4 linked regions of the Alligator mississippiensis genome follow. The protein of the gene in region 1 purifies or fractionates together with the protein of each later gene. This does not show direct contact. Links are inferred from orthologs where the notes say so. Each region holds a gene or a part of one and is shown on either strand. Other genes may lie near its edges. The genes, in order: GOSR1, STX12, STX5 and BET1L.

Region 1 (7,451 bases):
CCCCTTGTCTTGAGAGGTGCCTGGTAAACCGGTTCTTAGATACACAAATCCTGAATCTAAAGCTACTGCATAGCTGGATCTTTGCTCAGGGAGGACCTCGGGAACAGCTGGGTGAGGAAAGCAGCTACAGTTCTCTGCTCTTGGGCAACAGCTTGCGCTGTATGTGATTGGAGTGGCCTGGAAGCCTTCAGTGGGGAGGGACGTGTGCTGCATAGCGCTGATGTGGGTGTCTTCTGTTTTTTGGCAGGTGCCACCATGTCGGCTCTGGTCCTCACAGCCTGCATCATATGGTGCGTCTGTTCCATCAAGTCCAACAGGCACAAGGACGGCTTCCACCGCCTACGGCAGCACCACGATGACTACGAGGATGAGATTCGCATGATGTCTACTGGCTCAAAGAAATCCCTCCTGAGCCACGAATTCCAGGATGAAACAGACACTGAGGAGGAAACACTGTACTCTAGCAAACACTGATACCGGCCGAGAGGGAAGGAGACTCGCTATGGACAGACCTGGCAGTGGGGGCAACTCTTGTCATTCAGAGACCTGAGCTGTTAGCTGGCAGAACGTGTAATCTCCAGAGACTTGTGGGGCTGTTTGCAACCTCCTGTGTGCCTCTGTTCCCTTCCTACTCATGCACACGTCAGTGGGTGCCAGGCCCTGTCCTGCCTGTGACACTGCTGGGTTTTAGGTTCAGGTTTGGCGTTCCATGTAACAAAAGCACTTGAGAAGTAATTTAACGGGGTGTGGTGGCATCAGGACTTCTGAACAGCTCCCTTGCCTGGTGGGGAGATGCGCTGGTGCCTGGCGGGTTCTGTAGTTGCAAAGCTTCAAAGCTGTTTTTCTACTTATCTTGGTTTTTCACTCTGTGTACTGTATCTTGGGAAGCCTGGTGCAGACTTGGATCTCAGCGGAGCTGCTGGTGAGGGATGTGTGGCTGCGGCCTGGATTTGGCTTTGGCTGCTTCACCCTTTCCCACTGGCCTGCTCTGCTTTCCCTTGGGCATGGAACGCCGTGGGGGGGGGTAGGAGAGAGCCCAGCTGCAAACTACTATGAGATCACACCTGTGATGGAAACCGAGGGCGATGAGCTTGGGTCCGGACATGAGCTCTGTGTGAAGGGGGGAGAAAACGTAGTGGAAGCTAATGCTGGAGCTGCAGGGAGGTAGCTGTGCAGCTCTGCCATTCTTAGTCAATCCCACCTCTCCTCCCCACACTCCAGTCTTTCATTTGAGTCCCGTCATGCAGCTAGCCTGTTACTTTCCACCAGCCTTCACAGCCCTGTTACTAATGTGCTGGTCACCTGCTGCGGAAGTAACTCCAAGCAGGTGGGCATGCTAGGCTGCTGTGAATCCGAGTCAGCTTTATTCCAGCTGGCCACTGCGAGGCATACCCTTGGCCAGGTCCCCCCGCCCGGGAGACAGAACTCATGTCCTGCTGCAGTGGAGATCTTGGCATGACTCGCCCTCAGGCTCCAGCGCCTGCAATGTGTAGGCCTCTTTCCTGTGCCTGTCCAACGCAGAACACCCAGCGCAGGCATCTCTGCTTCTACCCTGAGCCCTGATGTTTCTAGGCATACAGCCAGTGTGAGGGGCAGCACACAAGGAGGTTTTCCTAACTACTCGCTGCGCTGTGGAGGGATGGGGGGGTTGAAGAGGGGCCAAACATGGGATAGTGACTTGTGTGGGGCAAACCAGCTTTGTTCTTGACAGCACCTCACATGTGGTTTCAACAGGAGCTACTCTCTGCAAGCAAGCAATGCTTCTGCTTCTTCGTGTGGCTGGGTCTGTTCCTTGTCATGGTTTAGACGGTGTGCCTAGACCAGCTGGCCCCCTCCCCAGTGCTTGGTGTCTGAAGTCTTTGCACCTCCTTTGAGCATCCCTGCTCTCCGGGCAGGGTGTTGCTGCTCATCTCTGTCATGCTTGCAGTAACTGGGTCGGGCTCTCGCATGACACGAGATGCTGCTGCCAAGAGGGAAGAAAAGGAGCACGAACATTGCAAGAGCCAGGGAGTGGCTTCTAAGGTGGAGGCTAGGTCCTCTAACCTCTGCCATACTGCCTTCCTGCCCTGGCTGTCCCTGCTGCTTTGCTGCCCTTGTGCTCGTGCCCTGCAGGGCCCTGCCACATGAAGAGCTGCCGGCTGGTGTTGAGAACCTGACTTCTGCCAAAGGGATAGAGTAGGGGTCGTAAACCAGTGCCCACTTCTTCCTGCCTGGGCCCACAATGCATCCACATGCATGATGTAGAGAGCAGCAGCTTCTGCTCCTCCCGTCCCAGTGGGTACATAGGGCAGAGCTGGAGCAAAGGCAGCCTGCATGCAGGGACCTGGCCGTTGCTTTTGGAGCAGGGGGGAGAGCAGTGGTGTGTCCTGCGGGAGCCGTACCCCACTGATGGTATCCCAGCTCGTCTCCTGGCCCTGGGTCTTGGCAGCATGATGCCTCCATTTCACAGGGCTCCCATGTAGGCTTCACTAGAGACCCTCCCCTGGGAAGAACAGAGCCCCCGGTGCTGGGGACTGATGCACAGCTCCTAGCCACGGGCCTGGCTGAGTAGGAGTCCTGGGAGCTGCGTTCTTCTGGGGGAAGAGAGCAGCTTCCTCTTAACACACAAGGGCTCCTGCTTGACCCTGCAGGGACGCTCCCCAACGGGAGGATTTCTGGTCCCAGGCCTTGTCCGTGCTGGAACGTGCCTCCTGCATCGTTTTCCCTCCGCGTGAAACCAGCGCTTTGCAGATGAAGAGATCGGGCGACGCTTTGAACGCACCTTCCCGCTTGCAGCTGGTGTGCAAGGACCCGGGAGCTGCGGGTCGGTCTCTTCCCGCCGCCCTACGGCTCTGCAGGGTTGAAAGAGCTGCTTTCATTGCCTCTTCTCCTGCTTGCTACAACCGGGCGCCGGCTCCGGCGTCCTCGCCGCGCCGAGGGTGGGTCTCGGGCCTGTGCCCCGGGCTGCGCTGTCAGCGTTCCCGGGCCCGCAGCAGGCCGGTGCCCCGCCTGAACCCCGGGCTCTCCGCTTCGTCCTTAAACGAGAACAGCTTGGGCCCTCGCAGCAAAGCTGGTTTCCAACGCGCGCCTCCAGCAGGCCCGGGACGAGGCTGGAGCTTCCTAATGGTCCCCCCACGTCCCACCAGCAATAAGCCTCGTTAGGCGTCGACGAGCCCTTCGAGGAGCTCTGCACCACAGGCTCGAGGCCGCCTGGGCCGGTTTCTCCGCGGCCTTCCTCAGCCCTCCTTCGCCTTTGCTCGTCGCGTGGCTGGTGCTCGGCCTGGCGCCGAGCGAGCGTGCCTTGGAGCGTGGACCTCGCGGCGGGGTTTACTGTCCGGCTGGCTGTAGCGTGGCGGGCGGGCGGCCTTTTTGGGCTTGTGTTTTTTCACGTGTATGCTGAGGTCTAATAATGCACATCAAACTATTTGGACGTCTGTCTGGTGTCTCTGCGCGCGGGGCTGGGGTGGGGTCGCCAGGCAGGACACCCCGGGATGGGGATGGGGATGGCTCCCTGCTCTGCAGCAAGGCAGGAGGCTGAGGGTGGCGAGGCAAGGCGGTGCCGCGCGGGGGCGCTGCGGCGGGCGGACCGCGCATCCCGGCAGCCCCCGCGCCGCGGGAAGGGAGCCGCTCTAGCGCCGCCCGCCGCTCGCCGGCCCCGGCTGACGTCGGACAACAAAGATGGCGGCGGGGGGCGGCAGCAACTACTGGGAAGGTGAGGGCGGGGGGGCTGGGGGTATGAGGGGAGGGTTGGGGGCTCTGAGGTGCGAGGGGGGGCTTGGGGCCTACGGGGCGCTGAGTGCTCCGCTGTGAGGGGAGGCCGGGGGGCGCCCTGGGGTGTGAGGGGAGGCCTAGGGGGCGACCCCGTGCCCGCCCCACGCCCCAGCGGCCCCGTGAAAACGCACGGTAGACGTCTGAATTTCTCTCCGCGGGGAAGCTGGCGTGGGAACGGGGGGTGCGTTGAGCAGAGCGGTGGTGTAAGCGTGGCGCTGGAGCCGTGACAGGCCGCAAATTGTGCAAGAGGCGAGGGTGTCGCAGGCGAAAGCTCGCCCGACTCTCGCCCGCCCGCCCGCCCGCCCGCCGGCATGCAGGAGTTCCCCCGAGACGTGTGGCTCCGAGGGGTTGTCCGTAGGAGGATCGGTTCGCTCGGGGGAAGATCTTATACACACGTTAGGTGTGTTCGGGTCGCTATAAAAATAAAAAGCCGGTCAAATTTTGTCTTATTCACCTGGATCTTGTCTGGTAAGAGTGTTGCGTGGCTCAAGAAGCCTCGGCTGCTGCTTACATGTGAGGAGAGACGAGACCCCGTACGCTGTGAGGGTTGGTATGGGTCGAGTGACTTTCAGGAGGGAAACTTTAAAAAATGCCAAAGGGATTAAAGAGTGTGAGACTCTGATTTAAATCAGACCTGGTTTTTTGGAAACCTTCCCTTGAAGAAGTTTGTAAGAAATACGTACTCGGTTAAGTCTTGGTAGGTTGTAGTTTCCCCTCGGCGCCTTGGTTTTGCGGCGCTCGCAAGCACACGAAACGCCAGCTGTGGTGGAGAGGGCCGAGCGTCGTTGCTTCGTGGTGGGGAAGCCCTTTCAGTCGTGAGACCATCACGGGAACGTTGCTCTGTGTTCCTGGGTGCTCGTACCATCGTCACTGCCGTGTCAGAAATCGGACGTGCTTCTAGCACGCAGATCCTAAAGCTGGAAACGCGGCCATCTCCAGTACTTCGTCCAGAAAGTCGTATGCGATTAGGAGAGACGGTTCCCATCCTGCTGGACCTCTGGGCTGCTGATCTGCTCAGCGGTGATCGAGTGTGCTGGACTTGTGCGTACATCGAGAGATTTTTGTTTCCTTTGTAATTGATCTCGACCTGATTCTTCTTTTGAATTATGCCGTCTTCTACTCTAGTTTCCTCCTCTTTAGGCTACGCACCTAAACCTTGCCAAAGCTAAACCCAAGTGTGTTGGGCCAGGCAGTGACCTGTTTGTCCATTTATTGCTTCTTACCATTGTTTTTCCAGATCTCAGGAAACAGGCCAGGCAGCTAGAGAATGAGCTCGACCTGAAGCTGGTCTCCTTCAGCAAACTATGCACGAGCTATAGCCACAGCAGTGCCCGAGAGGGAAGACGCGACAGGTATAGGTACTACCAGACTTCTTACTGTTTATTTGCTAAAGAAGGCTGCTTCCACTGCTCTTGGCTGATCCGGGGCTTGGTTTAATCTCAGACTTCCTTTGTGGTTTCGTGCTCAGTTTCCCAAACTGCTCGGTAGAATAGTTCTTGCTTTGCACTACCATCCGGGTGTGATGTTGAATGGGCATGTTGTGTGGGGCTGGGGGGCAGTGCGTGGTCATGTTGGAGCATCTCTGGTGCTGTCATTAGGTAGAACAGCAATTAAGCTTCTATTTGTGGTGATGTCGGCAGCATGTGGATGGGTATGAGACCTAGCCTGCTTGGTGCAGCTTGCATTGCGCAGTCCATCGCAAGGTGCATATGCACCAGTTAATACATTGCAACTCTTTATGGCCTTCAGTCTTAAGACCTGCAAGCGCTTGCCAGGCACTTCACAACCCTCCACGTGGGCAGGGTCACTGCACGCTCCCCATTTCAGACACGAGGAAATCGTGGCCCAAAGCTGCTAGGGCTCTCCAAGGATGCTCAGAGAGTGAGTGGGACAGCAGGGAATAGAACTGGAGAGGTTCCTCCAACCCCCTGCTCTGACTGCAGCAGCTGGAGCTGTTTTGAGTTTTCCTCCAGGATTAACACTGAGAACCAAATTGTTTTTAAAAAAGGAAAAGCTTTTAACCTGCTGATGGCAGGTTAAAAGAGATTACATTTACAAGTCCTCCCCACCTTGTGGGCCAGGTAATTTTCTGTCTTTGGTTCCAAAATGTTAACCTTACCAATGATGCAGCCTTCCCCTTGTCAGTCAGTGCGTGTTCACTGTGAGCCTCTTGCAGTGGGGTTGTTCTGGAACTCACCCCAGGCCTGGAGTTAGAGAGATCCTCACCTGACGGCACCTTCTTTCTGAAATACCAGCATCTCGTGTCCGCCACTGATGCTTAGTGTGAACATCCTGCTGTCACCCTGTCCCCCGTGCTTCTCTGGTAGCCTTGTGCCCATGAGTGGCTTGTCACAGGTTGAGACTGTGAGCTGTCTGGGGCAGGCAGTTTATGACATATGCATATATGTAGCACCAAATACAGTTGGACTCTGATCCCTGGATGACATTTGTCACTGCTTCTGAAATATAAATATTAGAGCTCAGACACGGAAGAACAGGCGTGAGCCATGCAGGACTGCCAAGGCTTTGTTAATGTTGGTCCCCTTTCCCCCGCAGAGAAGAGAAGCACCAGTACTGTTGATTTCATCTAGTCTGTTTCAGTTCCCTTTCCCAGTGCCTGGTATTTGTTTTAGCAGATTGAGATTCCACCCCTGGAAACGCACCCTGCTCATATCTTACTGGAGCAGTTCTTTCGCTCTGCTCCAGACAGTACTCCAGAGTACCTTGCACATTACACTGATCTCTGCCTCCTTGGGACAATGCCAGGAGACAGCATGAGAACCAGTTTTCCTTCCTCCTCTTATATCAATAACTGGAGTGAAGAGTATTGCTAAAAAGATGGATGCTGTTACTCTTCTGTATCTTGGTGTTGCCTGTTCACTTCTGTCCTCTCGCTTTGTGTCGTTTGCGTTGTGGTCTTAACTTTTTGACAAGGAGAGGGGAGGTGGGACTATGTAGAGAAATCCCTGTCACGTAGCTCGGTTTTTCTTGTGCAGCATGTTAACTTTGTGTAAGGTCTGTCAGCAGGGGGAACCTAACATTTCTATTACTAGTGTATCTTTACCTAATTATTGTAACACACTTCCTTGCAAACCTGGAATTGAGCAAAAAAAAAATGTGGAGGGGGAAACCATTAAGTGTGAAGACAGAATGATTTCTGACCTGATCTACAGTACGTTTCTGTGCCAGGCATTAGCTTCCAGAAGGGTGTAGGCTTCTTTGGGGGGTTTCTGTTCCAAGGTCCTGTATACTCTTGACTGCAGTAATGGACTAGTGACACAGTTCATATGAGAAAAAATATATCATCTTTTTCTAAATGTAATTTCTCATTTGAAGAAGCCTAGTTAGAAAATATAATCGCCCTTGTACCTATGCCCAGTATTGGCACTTTGAGTGTTCACAAAAAGATGGGCCTTCCAGTAATTGCTGCTGTTTTCTTTCCCCTTAGTTCTGACACAACTCCTCTCTTAAACGGATCAAGCCAAGACAGAATGTTTGAAACCATGGCTGTGGAGATCGAGCAGCTCCTGGGAAGGGTAATGGAGAGACTTTTTTTCTTTTTTGAATACCTAACAGGGATTTGAAGGCCTTGATGTTAATAGATGTAACAGTCATATGTTCCTGTGTAGGATGTAGAAAGTGCATTTGATGAAATGAGATTGCAGTGCACACCCACTGAACAAAAACCGTTTCATTAACAC
Region 2 (7,526 bases), on another chromosome or scaffold:
ATACAAAAGAGTAAGTAGTAGTAAAACAAATGTTTACTAAGAGATCTGAGTTTTGCTCTCATCCAGTTCATCTGGCAGCAAACCTTTTGGATCCTCAACACAGAGGACAGCATTTATCTAAAAATGAATTATCTACTGCTCTCGATACAATTATGGAAGTAGCAAAGAATGCCCCCAACATCAACGAAATGGCAATGTCTGTCATCATGGCTAAGTACCGTGCAAAAGAAAAACTTTGGAGCAAAAACATCACTTGGCAGGCAGCAGAGAATACATCTCCTATCACATGGTGGAAGGGATACTGTAACACTAGACTGCTGTCCACCATTGCTCTAAGGATCCTAACCATTCCACCAACAGCAGCTTTTTGTGAACGGAACTGGAAGGCTTTTGCTCAATCAAGACAAAAAAAGAGGAATACACTAACAAACGAATGCACTGCTAAGCTTGTTTCTATTTCTCAAAATCTTCTGCTTCTGCAGAATCAGTCAGAAGCACAATTAGTGAAGAAGACGTAGCGTGAGAAGTCATCCTTGCCCATAGACTCATTGGTAAAACCACCCTTTAGAAAAAGAAATGTGGTTCAAGTAGTTCTGAAACAGATTTGCCTCAATAAGTAGTGTAAGTAGTGCAAGTGATTCTACAGATAGTGAGAATGAAACTGGAGGAGTCACAATTACCTCAGTGGAAGAGAATTAAACTCTGCTGAAGTAGATGAATGGACAACTACGGCATATCCTGCACAGTTCTTTGGGTGTGCTAAAATTAGTGCGTCAACAGTTTTCAGTGCCTTTGTTTGTTTAAATTTAAGAAAAAAAATGATGTAAGGGAAATCCATGCTATTGTGTATTGTCTTTACATGTTTACAAGTATTCCAATAAAAATAATCTCTTTCCACATAAAGCTTTGAATTTGTTTGAATATAACATTTAAACCACATTAAGTGTGCTGAATTTATTTGTTTTCCTAATCAAATATTTCAGTTCAAATACTTGTGGCTATTGGGACATAAAATTAACATGGGGGTACTTTTTTAGTTCTGTTTACTAAATACAAGTCAAATAAACATGCTAAAATCAGACCATGATCTATTTAGGCATTGGAAAATTTTCCATTTCAAAATTTTCTGAAAAACCCACATCTCTGGATTCTGCCCTGCTAGAATCCAATAAATGCCAGATTTTAGAGATTTGGTGAGCTCATGAATAGATGCAATTTTTTTTTTTTTTTTTTACACTTTACTTCATAAATGAGCAACCATAGGGGTTTGAGAATGAGAGTCTTTGTGTTATGGTGTACATTATTCCCCACAAAATCACCATGATCTTATGTGTTCAACATCTGGCATCCTGTCTATTAGCTACCCATTCAGGCAGCTGCTCCCCTTTCCCATTCCAGAGAGAGAATCTGGAATTTCTGCTTGTGACGTTACAAATTAGGTTCACCATTAAGCATTTTCTTCCATAATGGACTGCCTGTTCCTACAGTCAAAGAAGGCAGCTGCTACTTGCTACAGGAGAGATCAAAGAGCTGTTTAAAAAGAGCACCCACAGAGCTTACAAGCCAAATGGGACAGATAACACAGTTTAGAAATATCACTGGTCTCAAAATAATATGAAGTCTAGCTGCATTGCTTTGTGCACTGGGGTAGTACTGAAAGCCGCATAGGGAAAGCACACTCAAAGGAGAGATGCAAGTAGAGACAGATGGCATGACACGAAAGAAAGGCAGCTCCAAGTCAAAAAGGTCAGGAAAGGCAAAGAAGATAACATGAAAACAAGGGGAAAAAAGAACCATAGAAGTAGGGCTGGAAGAACTCTCAGGAGGTCTGGTCAACCCCCCGATCAAGGTATGATCGTCCTTATTTAACCTATCCTACAAAAGTGTCTGTGTAAACTGTGCTTAAAAACTGCATAAACAACTACACACAAAACCCCCAAGAACACCCTAAGTGGCCACAGTGGGGCACTGACAATTTCCTGCCACTGCACGGGCAGGCCTATTCGTTGTGCACCGGGAGCTGTGGACCTGGCCCAAGCAGAAACAGTGGCCCCTCTAACAGCAGAACTACTTGTTCGTCTCTAAAAGAAAACATGGGCCTAGCCCACCAGGTTGCTCATCGGCCTCCCTGAGGTGGGGAGGCCACAAGAAAGGTGACAACAGAATGGAACAGGTGGAACAAAGAATGAAAAAAACAGAGACAGGAGTTCAGGTGAGAGATTCATATTAAGTGTGTCCAGTGGGGACACCGAGCACAGCGCACCGGACAGTGCCCACTGGCCCTCAAGGAGCCAGTGGACGCTGCTCAGGGGTACTCTGGGGAACGGATGAGGGAAAGGAGACGGGCCCTCCCAGCCACAGCCTCCTTCCTGGTCAAGCACGTGGCCAGCTTGGGCAGGAGGAGGTTGACCAGGAGGTCCTGGGACTGGGTGGGGCCACAGACAGAGAGTGCCTAAATAAAAAGGTGCGGGGAACCTCAATAAGAGGCTGGGCCAGGTGGGCGTGCACCAGGGTCCCTGTCAGCACACAAAGGGGGCAGGCAACAGAGGCATCCACGAAACATGATGGTGGCGTGCGGATGGCAGTGGAGCACCCCCCTAACGGACAGGCTAATGAAAGGGAACAAGAGCGCTGGGGACACGGACACGCTGCAAAACCAGGAAACCACCGTAATGACGAACACCGGAGACACCCAAGGAGGAGGACCGCGCCCCCCTCGCACAACTGCCCGATCTGACCCGGGGCCGGCTCCTCCCTGGCCCCACCTGCGCGGGGCGGCCCGGGCCTGAGGGGTGGGGCGGACCCTGAGGCCAGGAAGCCCGGGGGGGGGGGCACTCACTGCATTGCGCGATGCGCTGCACGTTGGCGCTGCAGGTCTGGATGATGCCGCCGAAGTCGCGGGGCGGCCCCGGCGCGGGGCGGGGGGCGCGCGGGCCCGACATGGCGGCGCCGGACGAGCTGCGGCCGCGGGATCAATCGGGCCGGAGCCGGGACAGCGCCGCGGTGCCACGCGCATGCGCCGTGAGGGAAGCCAACCCGGCTGGGCCCCGCCCCCGCCGCCAACGCCTACGCGCCGGAAGCGGCGGGGACCATGGCAACGAGGGACGCGCGGCGCCGCGCACGTGTTCTCTTGCGCTCCGGCCCCGCGCGGCGCCTCGGCCTCATCTCCCGCCACTGACCCCGCGTCCACAATCGCGATGGTGTCAGTACTGCACTGCATTGCCTGTCCTGATTACGTGACTGTCAGCTCGACTGCCACCGCTGCTTTCGCTCCTTTAAATCATACATTTCTATCTGCACTAGCCTCAAACTCATCTGAAATGGCATGGTAGCTGTGGAGGCCAAGCTCAGTGTCTGTCGCTGGGACAAGGCTCCGCGGAATCGCACAAGCCTGTTACAGGCCGAGCGAGGAGGGGGCGGGTGCAGGCCCCGATTCTGCAAACACGTCGGCGGCTGCAGCTCCGGGCACGTGAATAGCCTTGACTGACTTCAATCGAAAACTAGTCACTCGATCACACAGTTTCTAATGTGGTGAATCAGGGTCCCGGTTTTCTCTGTTTAAACGCCCGAAATTATCCGATTACAACCCACGCATCACTGTTTTTTCGTGATTAAAATGAAAGGCCGCTATGTATACACAGGTATCAGCTGAACGCAATGTTTTATTGATGTATTTGCAATTTTAAAGCAATTTGGAAGCTTACCTTCATCATCATAATACAATGACTTTTAAATATCTATACACTTTAGCATTTGCTTCTGGTTTTCTTTTTTTTATCATGGAAAATCAGAGCTCTCCCTGCCCCCTTCGCTCGCCGGGATGTGGGTCCAGCTGCAGCTGTTCCTTCCCCCCTCTCTCCCCTGCCGCTGCTTTGTGGCACTGAGCAGCCCTGATATGCTGGTGCCCCTCACTCCCAGCCCACAGCCTCCTGGCCCCATCAGTGCTCCTCACCCCCAAACCACAGCCCCTGAATCCCCCCAGCCCCACTGCTGCCTCTCCCAACTTGCTACCCCCCGGTGGGGGTGTGTGTGTGTAGGACAGGGTGGGATGCCTGACCATAGGCAATGTCATAGGCAACTTGTTAGAGGGGTAAGGGGGGCAGCATGTCCCCTCCTAGATTTGTGTGCCCACAGCGGGGCTTGGGGCTGCAGCCTGGCCAGACTGGCACAGGCAGGAGCTGCCAGCACGTAAGGGCAGAGCAGGACAGTGAGGCTTATTGCTGCTGCCACCAGGACTGCCGCACGGCCAGCAGTGCAAGGAGTAACAGATCAGAGGTGGGGTGGGGAGTGGGAGTGCTGCCCTCACCTCCTCCTGCCGCCACCTGCTCATGCGCTGGGCCATCGCTCTACCCCACTGCCATGGTCCAGCTGCCACTACCACTCCCCTCAGGTTGCCTGTGCTGCCCCTCTCCCCATGTCCCCTCCTGGATAGAGCAGTGGCCCAGCACAGGAGTGGCTGGTGGCAGGAGGATGTCAGGGCAATGCAGTCCCAACCACACATTACTCCTCACACTGCTGGCAGCATGGCTGGTGGAGGGTTTGTGGCGGCAGCAGCAGCAGCAATGAGTCTTGCTGTCCTGTTCCACACTCCCACGCTGGGTCCCACCCGCTGGGCCATGGAGGCAACTCCTGCCCATGCCAGTTCAACCAGGTTGTAGTCCTGTGCCTGCTGTGGGTACACAAATCTTAGGGGGCACATGCCCCACCCGGCTGGCACATCACCTATGTGTCCCTGCCCCCTCACACCTTGCCTATGCCCCCCCCCATTGACTTAGCTGTGGGAGCTGATCGCTACCACGATGCCTGGCTGCCATGTCCATGTGTCTGCATGCACTTGCATGTGGCATCCCCTTCCTGTGTTTGCCCTTCTCCTGCTCCCCTCACCCCAAGCAGCCCCTTGCAAGGGGAAACCCACTGTTTCCCATGTTTTTCTCCTTTAAAGGAGAAAATCCTTCTTTTTCCACAGTAAATAGAAAACACAGATTCCTGATGATAGTCATGAAAAACTGTTCAGATTTACATGACATGAACAGAGAGCTAGACGCAAGACTTAGAATCAAAGAAAGTTAGCATTGGAAGGGACCTCAGGAGGTCACATCTAGTCCAACCCCATGCTCAAAGCAGGACTGTCCGTAACTAGATCATTCCAGCCATGGCTTTGTCTAGATGAGTCTTGAAAACCTCAAAGGATGGAGGTTGCACCACCTCTCTGGGTAACCTGCTCCAGTGTTTTACTACCCTCCTAGTGAGAAAATTCTTCCTAATATCTAACCTAAACTTCCGCTGCTGCAACTTGAGACCATTGCTCCTTGTTCTGTCATCTGTCATCCCTGAGAACAGTACAGCTCCACCCTCTGTTGAACCTCACTTCAGGTAGGTGAAGGCTGCTATTAAATCCCCTCTCAGTCTTCTCCTCTCTAGACTAAATGTGAAATTTTTTATATGCATAAGCCAAGTGTGTATTTAGGCACCAGCACTTAGTGATTTCAGACTTTGGAGCATAAGCCTTCTTGACTTCAAACTGCAAACCCTGATGTATTAGTCTAATCTTGGGAAAGCATTTAAACTTCTTTGATTTGTGCAAGTTCAGTATATCAAAACTGGTGTGGGTTGCAAATGTAGCCAGGGCTACCTGCTTACCAATTTTGGTGTGTTTACACAGTAAAGATGTTGGTGGAGCCCCAAACTCACCTATATCATTGAACTATGAAAATCTTAGTAGGAAAAAATCAAATTCTATTAATTAATGAATACAGGTTTCTCTCGTGTTATGCAGGTTCTGTATGTGCAAATTCGCACTTATGCGATAACCCTTTTTATACCAAATATTTGTTATATGTGAAGTAAATTCACTCTCATGCGATCAGTGTGATGGAAGCTCGCAGTCGACTACTTTGTGCATTGCACTGTGGGAGTGATGTGCACCAAAATAAAGTCTAGGTGCATCCGTGATCCTCACTCATTGTCTGTGACACGTGTTTCTGTAGTTGCCATCCCCATTATGATAGTGCCCTGTGCTTGTGTACTGTCTGCTGTTGAGGAGTACCAAAATTTTCTTGTAAAAATGGTAGAAATGGGTCTGGGGGTCAGTACAGTCAAGGTCTTGGAACGTATCCCTATTTGCTACATTGTAAAGTGGGTTCCTTTTATGCGAATTCTAGTTATGTGCCATTTTCCAGAAATGCATGTACAGCATAAAGCAAGGGAAACCTGTACAATTAACTTTCTCAGTAATTTAAGACATAAAATGGTAAGAGTGTACATAACAACATAAAAATAAACTGATTATTTAATGGAGCCTGCCGGCCTGCGCTGTTCAGGGACTGGTGCTTCCCTCCATGGCAGCAGTGCCCCCTGGGACCACCTGGGCTGGGTGGCAGTGGGTGGGTGCTGCCTGGTGGATGCCACCACCGCAGAGGGAAGCACCTGGGTCCCCCACAACTCAGGGATCACTCAGCCCACCGGCAGCTCACCCCCCCGCCCAACTGTGGGGGAGACAGGTAAGCTCCAGCACCCCGTGCACCGTCTTTGCCTCTTGGGAGCACCCAGGAATGGATGGCTTGCCCCGGAGCAGAGCGGAAAGGAGGCAGGAGGGTGGTTGGGTATGCTGGTGGCAGCAGAAGGAGGCGGGGATAGTGCATGGGGTGTTGGAAGTCCACCAAGTCTGAGCTTCCCCGATCACGGTGGTTTCCAGTGCCCCATGCACCGTTGCACTTTGTTAGGTAGCAAACTAAAACACCTCGGAGGTATTTTACCTTGCTAAGTAACTAAGTCATGTAAAGCGGAATATGCCACCGAACATGTAAATAGGAATGCCATTAAAACAGAATACGCTGCCAAACATGTAAATAGCAACACCATTAATGGCACAAATGGGCATTTTGCTGCTTTAAAGGACAATTTTATTGCATGTACAAAGGCCCAATGATTTTCTTTACCCTGGAATTCAGTTTACTTATCTTTCTCTAGTTATAAGTATCAGGCCAGATTCTATTCCACTTTTTTGGTGTCTAAGTGAATTTAGGTTCCTAAGTGCAATTCTGTTCCATCCTCTTTGAATCCCTAACAATCTATTAATGCAGGGGTGCTCAACCCCCAGCCCCTGCTGTCATGTCATCTGCCTCATGGAGCTCCTCACAGGACCAGAAATTTGGCAATGGAGAGTGGTGGCACTGCTATCCTGCTGCCAAATTTCCAGTCCCAAGGGGAGCCCCAGGCTCTTCATGCTGGATTGGGCATCCAATCCCAGTGTGCAGGTCCAGACACAAGTGGTGCTAGGCCCCAAGGCCTAATCCTGGCACATGGGAGTGCTGGTGGTCCAATTCTGGCACAGGGGCAGGAGGGGATGGTGCTGCACCCCAGGGCCCATTCCTGGCAAGTGGGGGCATGAGGGGGTGGTGCTACCCCCCAGGGCCCAATCCCAGCATTCAGGGCATGGAGAGGGCAGTACAGAGTCCCAGGGCCCAATCCTGGTGTGCGGGGCTTGAACTAGGCTTGCAGACTGTCCCCATGCTATTCATCTGACC
Region 3 (6,882 bases), on another chromosome or scaffold:
CCGGCGGGCATGAGAAAGTCCAGGTGCTGCTCCCTGGGTGGGGCTGGGCAGACAGGGCAAGGAGGCAGGGGAGTGGGGAGGGTGTCTCAGGCCAGGAAGACCACGAAGATGATGAAGAAGATGATGAGGATGAGGAAGATCTTGACCATGAGCCAGCGGTTGGAGGTGACAGACTGGAAGTACTTGAGGATCTCGGAGTGGGCCGCCTCCACGTTCAGCTGCGCGTCCTCCACGTTAGCGTCGATCCTGGTGAAAGGGAGACTCAGCTAAGGCTCCCCAGAGCCAGGCTTCCCCTTGCCTCCTGGAGGGGGGGCAGGCATTCACCCACCGCCTCGCCTCCCAGGGCAGCATGTGGGAGACCCCAGAACACCTGATCTCTCTAGCACACATGGACTCCATGATTAGTGGGGGACCCAGGGAGGTGCAGCATTAGGGTGGGCAGCCACGTGCCAGGGAGCATTTACCTCTGGATAGTCTCCTCCTGCTCCTTCACCATGTGTGCCAGCTGCTGGAAGATGGAGCCCAGCTCCACGATGGTGGACTCAATGTTCTGCATGGTGTCCGCCCGGCTCTGGATGTACGAGTCCTGCCAGCGGAGCAGAGTCAGCCCCTGGACCCCCTCACCCCGGAGATGCCCCCCACGACACAGTCGCCAGAGCCCCTCCCCCCAGGTACCTGCTCGTCGATGAGCTGTAGCTGCTGGCTGGTGCGGCTGTCCATGTCGATGGCCACGTCCCCCGAGGCCCGACGAGATTCGTCCTGCAGCACCGTGGAGCCGCCTGGGCAGTGGTTGATGTGGGCAGGGTCAGGGGATGCATGGGGGGCAGAACCCAGAAAATGTGCCCCACCCCCAGCACTCCAGGGTGCCCCGGTGAGAACAGGCCACCCACAGGCTTCCCTGGGCAGGCCCCCCCCAGCTCACCCAAGTTGCTGGTCGAGACAGGCGCGCGGGAGAATTGCTCTCGCCGGCTCCTCTGCTGCTTCAGATTCTGAGGGGGAGAAAGGGGGAATTAGAACAGGTGTGGGAGAGGAGGAGCAGAGGGAGCCCTCCCCTCTGGTTCTTGGGGGTAGCGGACAGGCATACTGCACACTCACCTCTGTTCTCACCTCCAGCACCGACTTGAAGTCATTGGACATTGAAGCCAGCTTAGACTGCAGGGCAGAGACCAAAAGTTGGCTGGGCCTATACTGCGCTGCGCCCCCCCCCCCGCACCAGTCCTAACGGCACCTGCTGCAACCACCCTCCACCCCCAAACTGCCGCCCGCTGGGCCTGTGCCTCACCCAAGATGCCCCTAGATTCATAGATGTTAGGGTCGGAAGAGACCTCAATAGATCATCGAGTCCGACCCCCTGCATAGGCAGGAAAGAGTGCTGGGTCTAGATGACCCCAGCTAGATACTCGTCTAACCTCCTCTTGAAGACCCCCAGGGTAGGGGAGAGCACCACCTTCCTTGGGAGCCCGTTCCAGACTTGTCAGCTGCCCCTTGTCAGCTCCCAGCCAGAACCACCCAAACCACCCCCAGTGTCCCCTCACCTGCAGGGACACCACCACGGTGTTGGAGTGGGTCTGGACATGCCGCCCGCTCAGCCCGCCCTTGGCCCGCACGAACTCCTGCAGCTGCGCGATCTGCTTGTTCAGGCTGTTGATGTCCTGGGGAAGGGGCAGTCACGCACGTCACATCTGCTGGGAGGGAAGCCCCACATGCCCCCCAACCCCAGGGCAGGGGCTTTCGGTCCCAGGGCGGTCCCCCCTCCCCGCTCACCTGCTTGATGATGTACGTCAGCTCCTCGATCTCCACCGCCTTGTCATCGAACAGGGACTTCCGCTTGGCCACTGAGGGGCGAGGGGCAGTCAGGCCACGGGGGGCTTCGGGGGCCCGAGCAGAAGACCTTCCCCCGCTCCCAGCCGCAAAACAACATCAAACCCTGGCAGCACCTCGGACAGCCCCCCCCCAACACACCGCAGACAGCCTGGCCCCCCCGCCGGACCCCACTCACGGATGGTCAGCTTCTCCAGCTTGGCGAAGGTGTTGCTGAGATCCTTGCCGATCCGCCTGGGCTCCGGGAGACAGCACGGCACAGCGAGATCAGAGGTGGTGGCGGGGGGCAGAAAAGGCTGCCTCCCCCGCCCCGCTGGACTAGTATGGGCACGACCCCCCCCCCCCATGCCAGCCCCCCGGCCCTCCTCCCCGGGGGAGCCGGGCCCCACTCACTTGGCGATGAGGGTGAACTCGCTGCGCTGGCGCACGGCGCTGGACACCGGCTTGCTGAGCTGCAGCCCGTTCTGGAGAGAGGGAGGGAGGCGGCACCTGAGCCCGAGCCCCAGCAAAGGGCAGGTCTCCCCCTGACCTGACCCGGCCCGGCCCGGCCCGGCCCCGCGCGGGACCCACCTGCCGGCTCTGCAGGGATTTGCAGGCGGAGAGGAACTCCTGGGTCCGGTCGCGGCACGACATGGCGTCCGGGGGGGGCGGGAGCGGGGCCGGGGCGGCGGGGGAGGGCAGCACCTGCGTCTGCGAGGGTCCCAGGTAGACTCCCGGTGCCGCGGTCCTAGAGCCGTGGCGTCGGCGCGTGTTCATCGAGGCTCATGTCCTGGCGGGGAGGGGGGGGGGGTTCGTTCGTGCTGGACACACGTCGCCCCCCGCCCAGGCCCCGCCGTGCCCGCGCAGCAGCCCCAGGCCGCGAGGGGGAGGTGCCCGCAGGCACGGGGGGGAACGCACTGGTGGGGCAGCGGGGGGAGCCATTTCGCGGGGACACATACGGGGCGCGTCTGCTGCTGGGAGACCCCTTCCGGGGGGGCCTTTATGGGGGCACCGCTTGGCGGGGTGAGGAGCACCCGCCGGTCCCGGAAGCCGCCGCCCCCCCCCCAGCGTCGGTGCCCGCCCCGCTTCCGGGTCTCACCGGGACGCGGCGACGATCGGGACGCGGCTGCCGGGACCCGCCGGCCGGGAGCGACGTCACTGCCACGTCCCCTCCCCCGACGTCACGCGCAGCGCACGTCGGCGTGGCCCCGCCCCCCGCGCGCTCTTAAAGGAGCCGCCAGCGCCCCCTGCTGCCGGGGAGGCCCTGCCCCGAGGCCCCAGGGCGACGCGCGCAGCACAGCGCCGTCCTGCCCCGCAGCGCCCCGCCCGCTACACGGGGTTCCCACGGCCCCGCCCCTTCGCTCTGCAGCCCCCGCGCTCTGCTCAACCAGCCCCCCCGGGCCGTGCTCGAGGGGCGCGCGCAGCCCAGCGCAGCCCCGCCCCCGGGCCCGCCGCCGCCACACACGGCGCAGGCGGAGGCCCAGGCCCAGGCAGGTTTATTGGTGCGGGCTCGGGCTCGGGGCGCGCGGCGCGGGGCTCTCGCCCTCCTCCTCCTCGCTCTGCGTGCTCCTGAGCGAGTCGCGCCGGCTGCCGAACAGGGACATGCGGCGCCAGATGACGCGGATGCGCACGTTGTCCGAGGCCTCGCGCTCCGACACCGGCCCGGGCCCCGGCGTCACGAGGCGCAGCTGCTTGGGCCGCGGCTGCCCCTGGGGGTCTGCAACGGCGGGGCGGGGCGGGGTCAGCACCTGGGGTCTCCCCACGTGCGGCCTCTGTGACGTCACCCAGCGCCCCGCCCCCTCCGGGCAGCCGAGCACCGCCCCCCGCGGGTGACTCCAGGACCCTCCCGAGCCCCGCCCCCCACCGGGATCCCCGCCCCCACGTGGCCCCGGGGGCTCCGCCCACCTGCGGCTGAGGGGGTCCTGGCCTCCGCCGCGGGGGGGCGCTGCGGGCGGGACTGAGGGCAGCCCATAGGTCCTAGGTGCCCGGAGCCCCCGCTAGGGCTGGCCCCGCCCCCGGGGCTTTGTGATGTCACGGGGGTGGCCCAGGGGAAGCCCGGCCCCGCCCCCCAAACAGCCCCAGGACACAGGGCAGAGGTTCAGCACCTTTACCTCGCTCTGCTGCACAGCAGCCAATACACGGGGCAGACCCCACCCCACCCCCCCGCACGGGGCACCTGCCCCAGCCCAGTCCGTCATCCCCCACAGGGGCGGCCCCCCCTCAGGGCCCCGCCCGGGCTCTCTTCTGCTTCTTCACAGCCCCCGCGCCTGGGTCCGCAGCCCGCTTGGGGGCAGGGTGGGTGCGCACAGTCTCCATGGCGGCCCAGAGCTCATCCTCTTCCTCCTTGACCTCTTCCGCCTTGGCTGGGTCGGGGTCTTCGTCCTGGGGGAGCAAGGAAAGGGGGGTACAGACATCAAGGTCAGGGTCTTTGTCCTTGCGGGGACTGATAGTCTCCATCCCAGAAGCTGTAAGGGTCCCCTGCCCCCCCACACCTCAGATGCCCCCTACCTGCTCCCCATCCCTGCCGTCCTGGCCCTGGGACCCCCCCCTCCGCCCCCGCCCTCCTCCACTCACCTCCCAAGCCTCTCGGCTGGTCAGCAGCAGACAATTCAGCTGAGACTTCAAGTAAACCTGCGGCCAAGGGGGCACCAAGTGAGGAAGGAGCAAACAGCGCTGGGGGGCCATAGGACAGATGCCAGCTAGGGTGCTTCGGGAGGGTGCTGGGGGGGTCCCAGCTCACCTTGTGCTGCAGGCGTTTGTCGTCCAGGCCGTGCAGGCGTAAGAAGCGGTCAAGGCCACAGGAGGCGACAAGGGGCCGGGTCGGGTGGCACTGGACCCCGCGCACAGCCCCCGCGAAGCCCTTCAGGCACTTGAGTAGCCGCCCTGGCGGAAGGGGGGAGGTAGGCAAGGGGCCGGTGAGCAGGCCTGAGACCCCCAGGGAGCAAAGCCTGGGAGACACCCCCACAGCCCTGACAGCACCCGCAGCCCCACCAGGGCTCACCTTGTCGCAGATCAATGACGGCCACGTCCCCGCGGGCACTGCCCACCACCACCGAGCTGCAGGGAGATGAGGCGTGAGCAAGGGGCCGCCTAACCCCCCTGCTCTCACCCCCAGCCCCCACCCCTCTCCCGGAGCAGGGGAGAACTCAGGTGTCTGGGGGCCCAGGCACTCACTTGGCCCCGGGGGCAAGGGAGAGGGCAGTGAGCGGGTGCTCTCCATATGTCACCTCCAGCACAGGGCGCCGCTGTGGGGAGCTGGGGTCATAGACACGCACCTAGGAGGGAGAGTAGGGGTCAGGGTGCCCTCCCCACATGGCCAGCTGCCCAGGCAGGAGGTGGGGGATGGACCAACCACAGCGTTCCTGTTATTAAAAGTAACACCCTGCCCCCAAACCTGTCCCTACAACCCCCCCTCCTTCCACAACCCCGATTTCCCTCCCACCACCCTGCTCCCACCTGGTGGTGCCCAGTGCAGGTGATGATCTTCTCAGAGCCAGGCAGGAACTGGAGGTCGCGGTCCCAGACGGGCACCCTCAGGTTCAACCAGTCGTGCCGCACCTTCCGGGGGGAAAGGAGGGGTGAGCCTGGGGGGGGGAGGGGAGTACACGTGGGTGATGCCACAGAGCCGGACAGGAGCCATGAGGAAGGGGCAGGGGTGGGGGGCTGAGGATGCCCAGGCCCAGTGGGGTGGGGGGGAGAACAGGACAGGACAGTGAGGCCAGGGCTGTCACTCACGTTCTTGGCACGGAAGATGGGCTCCTGGGGCTGCTGCAGGTCCCAGACCTTGAGAGCGTTCTCCTTCCCGCCCGTGCCCACGCACTGCGGCCGTGCCGGGTTCTGCCGCATACGGCACACGCCGGGCCCCACCTGCAGCTCTGCCTGGCAAGGTGGGGGGAGGACAAGCACAGGAGAGATGTTACCCAGGGGGCCACCCTACATCCCCCCCAGCCTTGACGGGCACTGGAGACGGGGTGTGATGTGGTGTGTCCCCACCCCCAGCTCACATCCCCTCCCAGGGGCACCGGTCAGGCTCTGCCCCTCCCTGCCAAAGCAGCCAGGAACCAGCCCTGGACACTCAGAAACTGGGCGGGGGGAATGGGACAAGGCACCCCCCCAGTTTCCCATGGGACCCCTCCCCCAGCCCGGCCTGCTTCCTGCCAAAGACTCACAGCCTCAGAAGAGTCCTCGTGCCAGACTTTGAGAAGCCCGGACTCCACGCAGGTGATGAGGGAGCTGCCGGGGCCAGGAGATGGAGGCAGACACGGACACAGACAGACGTACACACAGACACAGAGAATCTCGCTAAGAGCAGCTGCAAACGCCAGGAGGCCCCAGGAGCGAGGGACAAAACCGGCAGGGGGAGAACGGTGCCCAGGGAACCCCAGGGAGGGCGGAAACATCTAACCCCTTTCAAGGGCCCAGGCTGCCCCATGGGGAAGGGAGCAGACGGACCCCTGCCTGGGCTCTGGCAGGGAGAGGAGACGGGTGCCTGGGACGCAAGGCACGGAGGAAGCCGTGCAGCAAACTACTGCCCCTCGGATCCAAGGAGGGGGGAGGACGGGGCTGGACAGACGCCAGGCCTTGGGGGATTAAACCACAGCCCCCCACCGGGCCAGCAGAAGGAAGGGGGAGGCTCGGACACCGTACCCGTCCTGCACAGCCAGGCCACGGAAGGGCCCCTCCCCGCCAGGGCACAGCCGCGACTCCGTGAACTTCCCCTTCTCGGTGCTGAACAGCTTCACCGACCGGTCCAGACAGCCCACCAGGATCTGGGCCGGGGGAGGGGGAAGCACCGTCACGCAAAGCTCCTGCAGACCCCCCTCCCCACCCCCCGGGGCCTGACCGGCCGGCTCCAGCCGGCCCCTCACCTCCGACTCGAGGGGGTCCCCCCAGCACATGGCGCAGACGCCCTCATCCCGCCGCAGCGCCCCCGACGCCGTGTAGTTCGTGGCCTGTTTCTTCTGCAGGTTCACGCCTGGGGGGGCAGGAGATGAAAAAGAAGGACGGGGTTCAGATGGGGGGGCACAGCTTGGGAGGAACCAGTCGGGGGGGAGCAAAAGGGGTGTCACAAGTAGAAGGGAA
Region 4 (7,648 bases), on another chromosome or scaffold:
TTTCTGCTGTAATCATGGTCTCTTCCTTCACCCTAACCTTCCACTCTCCTCCATTTCCAGTGAAAACAAGTATACATTAGACCTTCCACACACTGCCCGTGACATCACTGCCTGCATGCCAGCTCTGCTGAAGCCTGAATAGGTTTATCTTGCCTTGCTTTCAATATTGTGGTTATCTTCTATAGGGGTTACATGCCCTAGCTACCCAGATTCCAACCTGCAGACAACCACTTCCCAATCACTCACAGAAACAGCTTGACCACATCAATCCCAAACTCAAACATATCAAAGGAAGGGATTCCAATGCCAAATTGAATCATGAAGTTATTCTTAGTCTAGAAATTCTTGGTGGGCACATTTTAAGCTACAGACCTGGTCTTGTGGCCAAATAGCTTGCTTATTACTTTAAGTACATAAAATGCTTTGAAATTAAATTGTATCATATGAATGAAAATCATTATATTAAGCAATGGAAGAAATCTTGAGGCAAAAAAGTTTGCTTGTGTTTGCTAACGTCAAGTGTGAAGCTAGGGGATTTTCCAGCCACAAATGCATGTATTGGCTGCACAAGCCATTCCCCAAGTCCCTGGATTCTCCATCAGCAATAAAGAGTTTACGAAACATGCCAGATTTTGTCTCAAAAATCACCGTTTTTTAAATACCCGTGGTAATTAAAAATGAGAAGAAAAAGGAACAGAGTACTTGATATTATTAACACTACAAACCCTGATTCCAATTCTATACATCCAGGGCATTTCAGAGGCTGTAGAAGTACCCCCAAGAGATTTATAAACACTTCCAAAACTCCTAAACAGGAGTGACAAAGGCAGGCAGGCAGGCTTATATTATCTTCATAGGAGCCAGTTTGTAATCCTAGTAAGTAAGTAATTTCTACCTGCATTACTGAACTATACTACTCCCTATCAGTGTCAACTGTTATTAAATGCTGGCTGTATTTGCCCAACATAATATTGGGAGCTTTTAAGTTTCTGTTGGCTTATGTACTTAAAACCCCAAACAATGTTTTCATGTTACCTGACATGTGCTGGGTTGTTAAACCCAACTGCCAGAGTTTGATCACCTTTCCTTCTGAACTACAGAGCAAACTCTTTGAAGTCAGCACAAAACCATTCACATGTTAGACATCTCACCAGTGTCTTACCATGCCATCTAGATAGTGATTTTGATCTTCAGCATCTTTGTCAATATCCAGTGCCAGCTAATCAAAACACAGAAGGATGCAAGTGTTACTATCTTCAAATTAACAGATCAACTCCTAATATATCTGAAGCTGGTGAAACCCCAACCACACAAACAGGCCATTACTTCCACTGCCTCCTACACATTACACACTGCCATGTCTGTTCTATGCAATGAAAAAAAGAAGACGGGGGAGGAGGGAGATTCTGCCTACATTTTAAGATTATATAAATTCCTGCGCTTTGCAGCATTGGAAATAAAGGTCTATAGTTGGAAGCTTCTGTACATGAAATGACCATGCCTATCATGAAGCAGTAACAGAACACAGATTCTGGTTTTCTGATAATGATGTTGTCTGTGCATTACAGCCATATGTTAACTGAGGCTTTTGACATTAGTGGAAGCAAATGATTACTGTGAATACTCCTTTAATAGCCATGGATACACCACGACTATCATCACCATAAATATCATGACTCCCTCCTGAAGGAAAACTGAAAGTGTGTTTTTTATTAATATTTTTAACCTGGTTTTATAACTACTTTCTTCCACAGAAGGCACGCCTTGTCTGACATGTTTACCTGCCTTGGCCTCCCTGCCGCTTACTTTTTATATCAAATTTCTTCTCTAGCTGCCACTAAGACCAGACAATTTTGGTGATGAGAAAATTGGTAAAATTTCCCAGCTACATCATTAGAAAAGTTAACTATGCAACCCACCACAGGCTGTATCATATCCTGCATCTTCTCAAACCATGGAATAAAGAAATCACCCCTGTGTAAACCAGCTCCTTTCTCACAGTGAACACAGCAAGGAAAATGGACCACATGGAGTTAGTAACTAACCGATTTCAGCCTGGTGACTTTGGTGGCAAGATTGTCTGCCATATGTTTGTTCTCGACATCCAACATGTCATCCATGCCGTTCTGGCCCTGGCCTGAAAGAGAGAGGAGGAGTCTTATCAGTTATGACACAAACATCAGCATGTAAACTCATCACAGCTGGTAAGAGAACTGGGATTTCTGTTCGCAGCGCCACCGCCACTTTGTTGTTAGTTAGGTGACTCCGAGTACCATTTTAAGAACCGGTTTTTCCTACCCCTGAAATGTTACCCCAGATGTATGATATGTATCCGAGACACCCAACATACATGCAAACCCTGATCCTGCTTTAGCTACACAGGTGCAAAGCTTGAGAGCGCTCAGATTCAATTACTTATAGATATATTATCTGTGTATGTGTGTATACACACACATGCACACCTATACCTAGATATGCAGACACACATGTACATTTTATATATATATATATATATATACACACACACACATACACACACAGGTGCGTGTATCTGTGTATCCACATACAAACACACATATATTTGTTCTTCTTTGACACACGACCATCTACAGTGTGTACAAGACAGGTCAGCTAGTGTGCCGGAGGGGACGTAACAAGGTACCCGCATCAGCAGCTACCGACCCACTGCAGATGTATGCCCCGAGACATGGGGGTCACTGCAGGACGGGTGGGGTGGCAGGGGGCCTGCAGCTCTTACGGAGCCAGTTATCAAAGGGACAGGTTGAAAACATCTCCCGCCTAATACCTGCCCCTCCAAGCGATACAAAAACAGAGACGTACTCCTAGCACCTGGGCAGCACTGGCAGGCATGAAAGGCACCTAGCGCCAGCCTCTGACCTGCCAGCAGCCCAAGCAAGCCCCGGCCAGGCAGGTGAGCGCGGTGGGAGGGCAGGCACACAGCACACGGGGTCGGAGGAAGAGGAGGCATCCCCCCATCCCCGGGCCGGGGCTGGCAAAGCAAAACCTCCCCCAACCAAACAGCCGCATGTGCGCCCCCCCACCGCCCCAGTCACGGGCAGCCCCAGGGACACCCCCAGCATGCAACCGCACGACCCACGCCCGAGCCCCCGGCAGGGATCCGAGCTGAGCGCCCCGCGGCCCCGCTCACCGCGCCCCCACTCCGCCATGGCCGCGGCCCGTCTCCGTGGCCGGCCCCGCCCCGGCTGCTGCGGGCGGAGCCACCGCCGCTCCTTGCCCCGCCCCCGCGCCGCCTGGAGAGAGCCCGGGGCACAGGGGCCGGAGACACTGGCCTGCGGCCGGCTTCCTCCCTCCCTCCCTCCGAGCGGCAGCAGCCGGGGTCTCCAGTTGCAGCAAGGGCAGATTAAGCTGTTAGGGGGAAATAAACCCCGCTCACGCTAGGAAGGGAGCACAGTAAAGGAGCAGGTCGCCTGGCAAGGAAACGCCGTGTATCTGCGTCCAGGAAGGCAGGGTTCCTCAAGCGCTCCCGGGCAAACCTGCTCTTCTGGTGCCCGCCCCGGCGTCGGGGCTTCAAGCCCACTTGATGCAAACGGCAGCCGCTCTCTAGCTCGCTCCTGCGGCCACACGGCTGAGGCGGGGCGAAAGTCGGCGGCATCTGAACCGCTTGGGCCCGCACCTAGGACACCTGCTAAAGGATTTTGGAAACATCTGCAGCCTCTGGTGAGGTGGAGGATGTTTGCGGGCTGTAGGGCCAGTATGGTTCTGGGCTGACTCCGGGATTTGGACTTGATTTGACTGGGAACATGAAACATTTCTTTAAAAAAACAGGTCTTCCAGAGGTGGTGGCCTCTCCATCCTTGGACGTTTTTAGGACCCAGCTAGACAAAGCCTTGGCTGGGAAGATGTAGTTGGGGATGGTCCTGCTTTGAGCAGGGGTTGGACTAGATGACCTCCTGAGGTCCCTTCCAGCCCACATTTCCTAAGACACCACTCATAAAAGCCCCTCGCCTCTCTGGCAGGTTTCCTGGGACATCAGGGCTGCAGCATCCCTCCAGCACTGCCAGACACAAAGGGCACGCTTGTCCAGCCGCAGTTTGACTTCCTTTTTTCTCCCCTCTATAGCAGTGACTCTCAGGCGGGGCCATGGCACCCGAGATCCTTTTTAACCGTGCCACACAATACGATGCACAGGGTAGACCCAGCGACTTCAAAGAGGAATACATAGCAGCAAGAGCCATCACACCTGCTGTGAGAGGCAGGAATTCTTGTGGGCGATTCTTTTATCGGGCCATCTGTGCGCGGTTGGGATAGACTAGTGCTTCTCAACCTTTTTAGGTTTGAGGCACCCCTCCATAGTCTCAAGGCAGTCTCCATAGGGACTGGAATTAGAATTATTGGACTGGACAAATTCTTGGGGAAAAAGGGCATCAGTATCTATTGAGCACAGGAGTTAAGGGTCCAGCCTCTGAATTCAAAGTTCCTGGACCTTAAATGCTAGAGGTTGCAAGTGATGGAAGAAAGTGAATAAAAACCAACCCTGGTCTTGTCTTGTTTACTCTCCCTTTCAGTATCCATTTTCTGCCGCTGTGTGACACAGGCCTATTTGACACATAGGGTTAACGTGCACTTTACCACAAAGCAATAGTTACTCTCCCCGCATAAGCCGCGGAACAGGGTGGGGCACCCAGGCCATGGCCTGACCAACATTTAGCACGTTAACTTAACTAGCTATGCAGTTAAAAAAATAGCTATACAGTTTTAACCGGAATGGCAATTGCGCATTTGTGGGTTATATAAATTGATGTGCTACAAGTTGGTCAGGCTGTGGCCCAGGTGGCCCACCTCGTTCTGCAGGCTATGCCCCCTGTTATTAGAGGGGGCAATTGGGTATATGTCAGTTGATTTCAGGGGACAACTAAAGACAAAACAGGACTGGGAGTGAGGTCAGAGGTTCAAAATGAGTACACCAAGGAGGGGGACACTGAGCAGAGTACACTGGACAGTGCCCACTGAATAAGTCCAGGGAGCTAGTGGACACTGCCAAGTGAAACTTTGTCTGGAGACATGAATGGACCAGGCACAGGAAAATGGCCCTGCAGTCCCCGGGGGGCCCCCAGCCAGAGCCTCTGTGTGACAGGCCTATTTGACACATGTTGGGAACATGGCCCTTATGCCCACAGATCAACAATTACCTCCCCTTAATAATAGAGGGAGCTATTGGGTATGCATCAGCTGAATTCATGGGACAAAAAAAAATACAAAACAAGGACAGGAGTGAAGGTCACAGGTTCAAAACGAGTGCACCAAGGGGGACAGGCTGAGCAGAGTATGCGGGACAGTGCCCACTGGCCCTCAAGTCCAAGGAGGCAGTGGACACTGCCCAGTGAAACTCTGCCCAGAGACATGAACAGACCAGGGACAGGAAAGTGGCCCCACAGTCCCCAGGGGCTGCCCAGCCAGAGTCTCTGTGTGATACAGGCCTATTTAACACCTATTGGGGACATGGGCCTTAGGTTCACATGTGTCAACTGATTACTTGAGAAAACAAAAGAAGCAGGGACAGAGTAAAGGTCATAGGTTCAAAACAAATGCACCAAGGGTAGACATCATGCAGAGCACACGGGACAGTGCCCACTGGTCCCCAGTCAAGTCCAAGGAGCCAGTGAACACCTCCCAGTGAAACTCTGCCTGGAGATGTGGATGGTCTCCCTGGCCAGAGCCTCTGTGTGATAAAGGATCCCCGGCCAAGATGGACCTATAGTCTGATACAGTCAATGGCAATTCTTATGTTCTTACAGGCTGGAGGCAGCCCATCAGGAAAGGCCAGCTCTTATTTTTCACTCATGTTTAGACTACAGAAAAAAAGTAGAGCAATTCTGTTGCAAAGAACTTATGCAGGCCATTCCAGGTCTGAATGCTTTTAACACCATGGATTCCTTTCCTGACATCTCTGGGTTTATTTTGTGAATCCCATTAGCACACTCAACAGGGACAACATTGTGTGGCACCCCTGAAAGGACCTCAAGGCATCCCTGGGTGCCATGGCATCTTGGTTGAAAATCATGGGTGTAAACACCCAAACTTCTGGCTATCCTAGGACCCTATCTCAGGCCTGTGGCCTTGCTGCGTTCTTTGCAGCAGCAGAACGGCTTGATTCTTTTTTTCTGTAGCAGAAACACGAGTGATAATGAAAAGCTGGCATTTTCCAAGGGTTGCCTTGAGTCTCATGAGGGTGCCTTGAGTCTGAAACAAGGTTGAGAACCACTATTGTAGGGATTCCTAAAAAATGAGGGTTGGAAAGGACCTCAAGAGGTCATTTAGTTCAGTGGTTCTCAACTTTTTTTTGTACCAGGACCCATTTGTAAACATTGATGGCCAGTCTGGATTCACTCCGGACCCGCTGCCCCCAGGCCCTAGCCCCTCAGAGTGTGAGGCAGTGGAGGCCCCAAGCAGCCCCTGGCAGGCTGGAGCTCTGCCAGCCTGCAAGGGAAAAACCCTGGTTTCCCATGTTTTTTTCCTATAAGGAAGAATCCATTTTTAAAGTTTCTTGATCCATTTTCCAAGTTGGTTTGTGCCCCTTTCATATATTCTTGTGACCCACGGGTTGAGGAATGCTGATCTAGTCCAGCCCCCTGCTCAGACCAGGACCAGCCCCAACTACATCATCCCAGCAAGTCTTTGTCCAGCTGAGTTTTAAAAACCTCCAAGGATGAAGAGTCTGCCACCTCTCTGGGTGACCTGTTCCAGTGTTTTATTATCCTCCTCAGGAGAAAGCTTTTCCTAATATCAAACCTGAACTTCCCTTGCTGCAACTTGAGCACATTGCTCCTTGTCCTGTCATCTGCCACCACTGAGACCAGCCCTCCCCTGGCAGGCAGCAGGATCCGCCCCTTGCATTTTGCACAGTGCTCATGTTTTTTTTATATTCCTCTTGCTCATAGTGCGGGGCGGGAAACAGCCTCAACCCCTGACAAGGCTCCTGATTGCTTGTATGGTTGGCAGGCTGGTGGGTGATCTCTGCCCTGTCCCACAACCCCAAGCCTCCAGGTAAAGCAGCTCTTCCCTTTGCCTGGGTCTCCACCCAGCTTCCAGCCACCCCTCCCTGCCTCCTCTGGCTGAGAGCTGGGGAGGGCTAGGGGCAGCAGCAGTGTCCAGGAAATGAAGCAGGAAACCTGAGCCAGCGCAGCTAAAGAGAAGGTAACTCGCTCATCTTTTCTCCCTCGGATGGCTCATGGCAGTCAGACATCTCTGTCCCCTTGGCCCCTTAAAATCCCAGCAGAGGTGGCCTTAAAATCCAGCAGTTTGTTGCAGCCTCTGCCACACTTCCATGTAGATTCTCTCTGCAGGGTCCCTGCTTGCCTGAAATCGTCTCCATTTTGTCCCTTTTTTCAAGCGATCAGCAAGGACTTGCTTCACAGGAAAATAGAAAGCCACATCTCTATAATTATTCACTAATGCTGTGATCCCACAAAGGCTTCCGCAGAGGAGCTTTGCCACCAGGAGTATTTTCAGTTCCTCTTAATGGGATTGCTCCCAGATGTAAAGCTAAGCACATGAGTGAATCTCAGTAGGATGCTGGTCAAAAGGAGGAGCAGGAAACCAAGCCTCCTCCTGTTTTCTTAGGGGACTAAAGGTGACAAATAGGTCTGTTTTCTTAGGGGTTTGAACC

The links.
Region 2: the proteins of GOSR1 (region 1) and STX12 purify together in Homo sapiens (affinity purification with mass spectrometry; 3 studies listed by BioGRID and IntAct, counting the BioPlex papers as one, with this or other methods). This does not show direct contact. The link is inferred for Alligator mississippiensis from reciprocal best matches to the Homo sapiens genes GOSR1 and STX12.
Region 3: the proteins of GOSR1 (region 1) and STX5 purify together in Homo sapiens (affinity purification with western blotting; 3 studies listed by BioGRID, with this or other methods). This does not show direct contact. The link is inferred for Alligator mississippiensis from reciprocal best matches to the Homo sapiens genes GOSR1 and STX5.
Region 4: the proteins of GOSR1 (region 1) and BET1L purify together in Homo sapiens (affinity purification with western blotting; 3 studies listed by BioGRID and IntAct, with this or other methods). This does not show direct contact. The link is inferred for Alligator mississippiensis from reciprocal best matches to the Homo sapiens genes GOSR1 and BET1L.

Annotation. Positions count from the first base shown.
Region 1 is NC_081837.1:1,807,750-1,815,200, forward strand, and holds the start of GOSR1 (Golgi SNAP receptor complex member 1), read left to right. Parts: upstream 1-4,442; 5' UTR 4,443-4,709; coding exon 4,710-4,791; intron 4,792-4,987; coding exon 4,988-5,108; intron 5,109-7,198; coding exon 7,199-7,286; intron 7,287-7,451. Other genes in the region: CPD (carboxypeptidase D), read left to right, coding at 248-474. UniProt on the Homo sapiens protein: Involved in transport from the ER to the Golgi apparatus as well as in intra-Golgi transport. It belongs to a super-family of proteins called t-SNAREs or soluble NSF (N-ethylmaleimide-sensitive factor) attachment protein receptor.
Region 2 is NC_081829.1:16,711,604-16,719,129, reverse strand, and holds the start of STX12 (syntaxin-12), read right to left. Parts: upstream 3,001-7,526; 5' UTR 2,943-3,000; coding exon 2,840-2,942; intron 904-2,839; exon of another isoform or gene 1-903. UniProt on the Homo sapiens protein: SNARE promoting fusion of transport vesicles with target membranes. Together with SNARE STX6, promotes movement of vesicles from endosomes to the cell membrane, and may therefore function in the endocytic recycling pathway.
Region 3 is NC_081838.1:3,271,952-3,278,833, reverse strand, and holds the start of STX5 (syntaxin-5), read right to left. Parts: upstream 3,005-6,882; 5' UTR 2,900-3,004; intron 2,869-2,899; exon of another isoform or gene 2,760-2,868; intron 2,743-2,759; exon of another isoform or gene 2,719-2,742; intron 2,591-2,718; 5' UTR 2,578-2,590; coding exon 2,392-2,577; intron 2,286-2,391; coding exon 2,215-2,285; intron 2,056-2,214; coding exon 2,000-2,055; intron 1,836-1,999; coding exon 1,765-1,835; intron 1,653-1,764; coding exon 1,536-1,652; intron 1,153-1,535; coding exon 1,096-1,152; intron 990-1,095; coding exon 923-989; intron 780-922; coding exon 676-779; intron 587-675; coding exon 465-586; intron 247-464; coding exon 87-246; 3' UTR 1-86. Other genes in the region: WDR74 (WD repeat-containing protein 74), read right to left, coding at 4,021-4,182, 4,375-4,431, 4,541-4,683, 4,802-4,857, 4,975-5,075, 5,257-5,358, 5,536-5,679, 5,970-6,033 and 2 more. UniProt on the Homo sapiens protein: Mediates endoplasmic reticulum to Golgi transport.
Region 4 is NC_081825.1:179,400,877-179,408,524, forward strand, and holds the start of BET1L (BET1-like protein), read right to left. Parts: upstream 3,005-7,648; 5' UTR 2,990-3,004; coding exon 2,842-2,989; intron 2,138-2,841; coding exon 2,046-2,137; intron 1,220-2,045; coding exon 1,163-1,219; intron 1-1,162. UniProt on the Homo sapiens protein: Vesicle SNARE required for targeting and fusion of retrograde transport vesicles with the Golgi complex. Required for the integrity of the Golgi complex.